2 linked regions of the Cricetulus griseus genome follow. The protein of the gene in region 1 binds, or shares a complex with, the protein of each later gene. Links are inferred from orthologs where the notes say so. Each region holds a gene or a part of one and is shown in the gene's direction. Other genes may lie near its edges. The genes, in order: Bmp10 and Acvrl1.

Region 1 (4,253 bases):
GATTGTCCCTGCAGGAAATCAGCCCTTGGAGCTGTCTACATGGTGCCGTGACAGCACCATGCCTCCTGCTACCACCAATTAGTGTGGACTGTATGTTCAGCCTGACTTGTTATTCCTAAAGTGGACACACAATCAATTATACCAGCCCCACCACCCCCTTACCAAGATATTTGGCATTTTTTATCTGTTTAGTAATGCTGTTGGGCAAGCTGATAGAGCTTTGGACTTAGTCTTGGAGGTGAACTTGACAGAGATCTTGGCCATGTAAATATCTGGTACCACAAGCACTGGACCCAAATTGACACCTAGCTACCTGCCTTCTTACTGCCTATCCAAGGCTGGGCTAGAGTCAAGTTGCTATCACTCCTAATTCCTGGTCTAGTGGAATCATGGTTACAAAGTTGGTCTGTTTCTATTCCACAGTAATCAGAAAGCCTGGGCTCAACCTGGGGCTTCACAACTGCACAGTTCGGTGACTTCTGACCAATTATGACCTCAGGAGCCCATGAACATGACAGGAATAAAAACAGGGTTATTAGATGAAACACATTATGTGATTTTGCAAAGCTCCTCACAATGTTACACTCAAACCTCATTATAATCTGGTGCTGGCTTTACTTCAGCCTGATCGAGTCTGTAGAAAAATGACTGTGACTCTTAGTCTTTCCTGTTTCTAGAAGCAAATGCTTCAAAATTTGTTTCTGAGTCATTTACATCTACTTAACTTGAAGTCATTGGATATTTAGTCCATCTTTAGATATGAACATCCCTATCATTTGAATCAATATGCATCACCACTGAGTGCATTCTGTTGACTCTTAATATCTGCCATACACACGTGCAAAACTGAATCTCATAAGGCCAGAATCCAGACATTCCTACCAAAAGGAAGTCAAGTGAAAGAAAGAGTAGCAGAGCCTTTGTGAAGAGAAAATTGTCTTATCCTTCACCAGTGTCAGAATGTGGAAGTGTTTACAAAATGCTCATTAAAAGAAAAAGGGGTTGCAAGATAAAAATGAAATCTGGTGTACAAGTTTACACTGGGGAGATAAGAAAAGGCTAGGCCCTATAGGGGATTTTGCTATCCAATTACTGCAACCTGACTTTTGGCGGGGGGGTGGGGAGTAGTGCAGGGGGAGGGGAAGAAGAGGAAGCGTTTTCATACTTGTGTCGTGTCCAGTGACATAAGACATTTACACTCCACAAGATAAAACCGCCACTTAGAGCCCAGAGGAGTTAAACCTTCCTAGGTTGAGCTGGGGAGCTGAGTAGAGTCATGGGTTCTCTGGTCCTGCAGCTGAGCGCTGTCTTCTGCCTGATGGCTTGCTCGGTTTCAGGCAGCCCCATCATGGGCCTTGAGCAGTCACCCCTGGAAGAAGACATGCCCTTCTTCGACGACATCTTCACAGAGCAAGACGGTATGGACTTCAACACACTGCTACAGAGTATGAAGGATGAGTTTCTCAAGACGTTGAACCTGTCCGACATTCCCCAGCAGGACACAGCCAAAGTGGATCCTCCAGAGTACATGCTAGAACTCTACAACAAATTCGCCACGGACCGGACCTCCATGCCATCTGCTAACATCATCCGGAGCTTCAAGAACGAAGGTAAGCTGGCTTGTGTTTTCACCTATGAAACCTTGGCTTTGCTTTTTCTCAAGAAGCAATTAGTAAACATCCACGTGGGAGAGGATGAACTCATGGACATGCATGGCTCAGACACAGCACATCAACTGTTCTACTTCAAAAACGCTATAAAATGTCTATTAACGAAAAAACGCAAAATGTCCATGGTTCATTCCAGCATCAGAAAAGGTTCATTCCAGAAATTCCAGCATAAGAACCAGTTCTTGATAGTGGACACTAAGTATCAAAAAAATCTGAACACTAAGTATCAAAAAAAAAAAAACCCATAAATGTTGATCTGTTGCTCTGTCTTGTCTGCTACTTTCTAAACAAAACTTGATTTCTATCTGGGGTTGATAAAAATTTGCCAATTTGCCAACTTTTCCATAGATCAAAAATGGTAAAAACAATAAAAAGAAATTAGAAATGTGGGGTTTGTGCTTCATCCAAACTCTGGGTGAGTTTCCGATTGTGACTTTATTTAAGCAGTGTTCTGATAGAGTGGGGACTGCATTTGAAAGATTCTTCTAATGCTGCTTTGTGTTTAATGAGCCATGATAAGACCCCAGGAAGTGCACAGGACCCAGCTAACAGTCCAGCTTATTGTGACTGTGACTTTATGAAGAGTGATGTACAAATTTCAAATTGAGATTCCTACCCCTCAGATCTTTAATTGAGTCAGCAAACTAACCCTTTCTTCATATGGTACTAGTAGAAAAAAATATGATATTGATGATAGAGGCTGTGGATATAGAGAAACTGGCTCTTTATTGTTTATTTACCAATTGTGCTTCCGTAGACACTGGGCCAGTAAAAACGAGGTTTGATCAAGGTTTGCCAGATGCTCTTGGAAGCAGAAGGCGGTATCATGAAACAGCTCAGGAGTGCTGAGAGCTAGCTGCCTTGGGAAGATGTGACTAAGGGATGGGAGCCCCAATTTCCCCCTGTAAAACTCTGTGACACAGATAAGTGAATCACAAGCAGCTAGAGGCAAGAGAAGGCTTGTTGTTAGGAGGTGCTGGGCAAACCATGATGACTTTTAATGAATTGCTTAATATTCTAGGTGCTAGAGTAAACTCTGAATGGTTATTCCTCAGACACCAAGATAGTGTTTGCTTTTAAAATTCAGCTGGTCACCACCATTTCTATTTACTAGCATATTTCTGGTGGAAACTGCAAGCAGAGATTTCAGATTCCTTTGAAGGCAAGTCTAAGAGGGAAAGAGCAACCTCCTGAAGGAGCCTGTCTCAGCATCCTCCTCTGAGCCATGATCCAGCTTAGGCATGTTGGGAATGCAGTCTAGCTCAGACACAGGGGGTATGTGGTCTAGCTCAGGCACAGGGGGAATGTGGTCTAGCTCACACACAGAGAGAATTCAGTCTAGCTCACACACAGGGAGAATTCAGTCTAGCTCAGACACAGGGGGAATGCAGTCTATCTCAGACACAGGGGGAATGCAGTCTAGCTCAGGCACAGGGGAATGTGGTCTAGCTCAGGTACAGTGGGAATGTGGTCTAGCTCAGGCTTGGTGGAAATGAATTATTCCACTCTTATTTCGTGCTCCTCACATGGAAGAGCAGGTGATAAAGGTGAGAATGTGAGCAAGCTTACCACTACTGGGGGAAGATCAGACTTGGGGACACCTAGCCATTCACCCCCTTGCACTTATACAATCTAGAGGAAGACTCATATAGCAGAGGACATGTGTCCCCCTCACCAGGCTCTCCCTGTTGGCTGTTGTCATCCATCTATACATCTTTTGTGTTTGCTCAGTGACATGAGCTAGGAGGCAAAGACCAAGAGTACTCCAAACCTAATTCATCTTTGAATGGGTGTCACATGCAAGGTGGAAAACGTGGCTTCAATTCTCAGCTTGGTTCCATCCTCTGTATTGTCTAGGAAGTCAGATCTATACATGGAGGCTTGGTTTCTTCTGGTGCAGAACTAGCATCAGATCCATGTATGCATTGTGGGCGTCATTATGACAGTCACACAATTTGCAGAGCAATTGACATGTGAAATCTGTCAGACTTAATTCTCTTGCTCTAAAATGTGACTTTTCTATGGATCTCTTATCACATATACAAAGAACTGTATGTGGTTTTATTTAGTTAAAGGTTGGTGTGTGTGTGTGTGTGTGTGTGTGTGTGTGTGTGTGTGTGTGTGTGTGTGCTGCTTTGTTTTGTTTTAAGCTGGCTTTGAACTCACCACATGTAGCCCAGGCTGGCCATGAAATATTCACATTTAAATTTAAAACACTGTAAACAATTTCTTTTGATACAATATTTTACTATGAATCCCAGATTGGTCTCAAACTCACAATCCTTCTGTCTCAATCTCTTGAATATGAGCTTATTTTTTAAAAGCACATCTTCATTGATGTATAGTTAATATATAGAAATCTGCATGTATTTAATGTGCATAATTTAAGTGTTTACAAGTGTAAATATCCACTGAGGTCCCCCCAATTAGTAAAGATCCCTCAAAGCTTCTCCATTCCAAAGAGCATTCTTTCTGTACTTCTCTCATGGAGGAGCAATAGCCTGCTCTCCCATCTTTGGGTTTCCAAGACAGCAAGTGCACAGGTGACCCCTAGTGGGATGAACTCAAAGGAGCCAAGGTCTC
Region 2 (3,814 bases), on another chromosome or scaffold:
TCATGCCGCAGAGTCACCAAGTCCCTGGTCTTGTGTTACTCTTTCTTCCCACAGAGATGGGGAGGCACCTAAAGGAAGTAAGAATCCCTTCCCTCTGTGACCCATGTCCATCCACACAGCAATGCTCTGTGAAGTGAATGAAAGCACAGGAGACAGGTTTGGCTCTGTGCCAGACACCTTTCTCAAAGCCTGGAGCACACCCAGAAGGATGAGAACTCCCTGGGGAACTGTTTACAAATACATGCTTTTCTTTCTTTCTTTCTTTCTTTTCTTTCTTTCTTTCCTTATTTGTTTGTTTATTTATTTATTTATTGGTTTTTCGAGACAGGGTTTCTCTGTGTAGCTTTGGAGCCTATCCTGGCACTCGCTCTGGAGACCAGGCAGGCCTCAAACTCACAGAGATCCGCCTGCCTCTGCCTCCTGAGTGCTGGGATTAAAGGCGTGTGCCACCAACGCCCAGCGTTTCTTTCTTTTTTTTTTTAAATCCCCTTCTTTCTTGATTTTTGGAGTCATGGTCTTATTATGTAACTGAGGCTGGTATTCCCCATCCTCTAATCTCAGCCTTTGAAGTGTGCTAGATCATAGGTACATTACCACTGTACCCTGCCCAAAGCATGTTTCTTGCTGGCCTCAGACAGACTGCATAGGAGCCTGAAACTGGTGATAGACCAAATGATCTACATAGCTAACCCACTGCATAAGGTTCTGATATGCTGTAGAGAGGCAAGGGGAACACACAGGCAGTTAGGGAGGTGGGCATTTGGTAGCCTCTCCTTAGCTACTTTCTGAGCAAGTGAAGTCCTGCCCATGGCCTTGGGACATGCCCTCTGCATTCATCTCCAGGACCCCTGTAGAGTACTTACCAGAGTCCTAACTGGCTTCTAGCAGGGGCAAGAGGCGGGTCAGCCAAAGGCTGGGACACAGCTGCAGCAGCCCAGGTCTCTATTTCCTCCCCCAGGCCGGGCCTCTGGGGCAGAGGAAACCCAGGCAGGAAGGCCAGGGCTGTCACTGGCCAGAAAGGCCCACCAAGCCCCCCAGCCTGACCCTAGACATCCTGCTCCCAAAGCCTCAGCATCTTGGGTCTACGTTTGGTATCAAGATTAGAACATGGACCTCTGTAGTCTATATGTGACTGTATGTCCAGCCCTTCTCCTGTCATATCACAGGACATGTATGTCCAGCACTTCTCATGACACATAACAGGACACGTATGTCCAGAGCTTCTCATGACACATTACAGGACATGTATGTCCAGAGCTTCTCATGACACATTACAGGACATGTATGTCCAGAACTTCTCATGACACATTACAGGACATGTATGTATGTCCAGCCCTTCTCATGTCTTATCATCACAGGATGCTCCTTGTATTAGCTCCCCTAGCTGGGGATCCAGCCTGTACACTCCACCGTTTAGACAGTCTGTGTTTCTGTCTGACACCTGCCCCTCTACCCTTTGGTCCTGAGGCTTTGAGAAGTGAAGACTACTGCAGCTCCTAAAGCCCTAGTTGATTTGGGTCCTGAGTTCCTGACTGTCATATACCATAATCACTCCTCTTACCAGTGTTCACTAAACTTCTGAGGCAACTCTGCAAAGTCAAACATTCAGGGCCCAAGTGTGTTTCACTTCCTATGCCACTGGCCCTCCCCCCACCCTTTCCCAGGACAAGAAGAGAGAAGGGGGCCCAGATGGCTCTAAGCCAGAGAGACATCTCAGCACTCTCAGGCTGTGCCTGGCTGCTACAAGCCTGAGGATGCAAACAGGGGCTGACCCACTAGCTTAGGACACAGAGAAGAAGGAACAGTGTGGGAGGGAGTTCTAGACTCCTGTGTTAACTCCTGTTACTGTTAGATGATTCTTAGGGAGCCTGGACAGTCTTTCCCCTGGATAAGCCTTACTTCCTCCTCTAAAACCAGAGCTGGGACAAAGAGATGGCTAAACAGCTAATGATGCTTGCCACATGAGCTTGGTGACCTAAGTTTGATTCCCAAAACCCATGTTAAGGTAGAAGAAGGGAACCAACTCCACAGACTTGGCTTCTGACCTACACACTTGTACCTTGGCACTCGGGCCCTTAAATACAGACACAATAATAACTAATGAAATTTAAAAAAAAAATAAAAACATAAAACTGGAGATGGGGTTGATAGTTTTTAAGGTCCCCTCTTCAGGCAGGCCCTTTAGACCCTGTCCTTTTTCCAGCCTGCCCTCAGCTCCCTGCTGCTGTGCGTGACTCCAGACTGTCCTATCCAGACCTCAATCTAAACAATCTTGATTCCTGTTGCCGGCCTGGCGGGACCCTGAATGGCAGGAAGTGAAGACAGGAGCCTGTTTATGTTTGAAGCAGCCAGGCATGGGAGGTGGAGGGGCACTGGGAAAGGGTGGGCAGGGGTGGAGGCCGGAGGGATTGGCAAATGGCAGAGGACAGAGAACAGAGGGGAGCTAGGAAAGACAAGTTCTTTCCACTGTAGCTGTGCCTTCTGCAGCCCCCGCCCCAGCCTGCTTCTGTCTGAACCCAGCAGTGGGGCACAGAGCTGGGGTCCCCTTTGGCTCTCATCATTTAAACACAGCTCTTCACCCTTCACCCCCAACAGATGGTTTCCATGGGGAAGTGAAGCAGGACTTCCCTTGCAGGCCCCACCCTAAATCCTGACGTAGGAGTGGGGAGGTGGCTTCTCTGCCTCCCCCAAAAGAACTCCCAGTGATTTCCTCCTGGTAGGAGGGGACCTTGGTCACCACAGCTGTCACATTTTGCAAACCTCACCGCATCTCTTCTCCTATCTCCAAGGACCATGACCTCAGAGATCCCCAGAAAGGGCCTTCTGATGCTGCTGGTGGCCTTGGGCCTAACCAAGGGTGAGTACAGGAGGAGCAGTGTGGAAACAGGGACCTGAATGGAGGAAGGCTATCTAGGCTCAGCTCAGCTTCTGCTGGGGCTGGATCCGAGGAAGTGAGAACATGAGCCTGGCTGGATGGTAGACATAGGCTCCTATAGACTAGTTCCCTAGCTGATCCAACCTTTTATCTCCTTGATACTGACTTGCAGGCTGAGATTCCTTGCAGGATAGCGCCTACATCTTGGGTGGAGGAAGTAGGTGTGTGAACACATAGAGCCCTGGACCTGGGAAGGACCTGTAGCAGGGAGAGAAGGTCCCAGCACAGGCAGTAGACCAAAGCTGGCTTCTCCCAGTCTCTACTGCCTGCGTGTTAGGGATAAGGATCTGAGGGAAGGACAGTAAGGGCATGGAATTAAAGGACGGAGGCTTGAGAGCTTTGTCTGTGAGATCAGAAGGGATGGGACAGTAGGAGGAAGTGGATAGCCTCCTCAGAGTGCCTGAATTTCTCATATATCTCCCAGGAGGCGGGGTGAAGGCCTCCAGGGATCAGCTGGTGAACTGCACTTGTGAGAATCCACACTGCAAGAAGTCAACCTGCCAGGGGGCATGGTGCACAGTGGTGCTGGTTCGTGAGCAGGGTGGGCACCCCAAGGTCTATCGGGGCTGCGGGAACATGAACCAGGAACTCTGCTTGGGACGTCCCACAGAGGTTTATAACCATCACTGCTGCTATCGATCCTTCTGCAACCACAATGTGTCCCTGGTGCTGGAGGGTAGGTCCAGTGGCTCTTCTAATTTTCCCCATCTTTGCAGACCCTGTCTTCTCTGCCCCACGTTCTCTTCACCCCCTGGCCCATACAGAGAGGGTGTGGGGAGGCGGGATGCTGGGATCTAACTGTCAGAGTGGTCTGGCTCGGGGTCAGGAGAGCTGGCCTGGTGGAGTTGGGACTCAATGTCCCCCTCCCTGCAGCCACCC

What was found.
Region 2: the proteins of Bmp10 (region 1) and Acvrl1 are in contact, whole or in part, in a crystal structure (PDB 6SF1), measured with the Homo sapiens proteins. The link is inferred for Cricetulus griseus from reciprocal best matches to the Homo sapiens genes BMP10 and ACVRL1. Residues at the interface, in NP_055297.1 of Homo sapiens: Tyr322, Asn357, Tyr358, Pro359, Ala361, Glu362, His363, Pro366, Thr367, Lys368, Ile371, Leu375, Leu378, Lys379, Ser381, Lys386; in NP_000011.2 of Homo sapiens: His40, Val54, Val56, Arg57, Glu58, Glu59, His66, Gly70, Asn71, Leu72, His73, Glu75, Leu76, Phe84, Val85, His87.

Annotation. Positions count from the first base shown.
Region 1 is NC_048601.1:55,891,225-55,895,477, reverse strand, and holds the start of Bmp10 (bone morphogenetic protein 10), read left to right. Parts: upstream 1-1,276; coding exon 1,277-1,610; intron 1,611-4,253. UniProt on the Homo sapiens protein: Required for maintaining the proliferative activity of embryonic cardiomyocytes by preventing premature activation of the negative cell cycle regulator CDKN1C/p57KIP and maintaining the required expression levels of cardiogenic factors such as MEF2C and NKX2-5.
Region 2 is NC_048595.1:397,571,924-397,575,737, forward strand, and holds part of Acvrl1 (serine/threonine-protein kinase receptor R3), read left to right. Parts: intron 1-2,789; 5' UTR 2,790-2,793; coding exon 2,794-2,857; intron 2,858-3,359; coding exon 3,360-3,611; intron 3,612-3,808; coding exon 3,809-3,814. UniProt on the Homo sapiens protein: Type I receptor for TGF-beta family ligands BMP9/GDF2 and BMP10 and important regulator of normal blood vessel development. On ligand binding, forms a receptor complex consisting of two type II and two type I transmembrane serine/threonine kinases.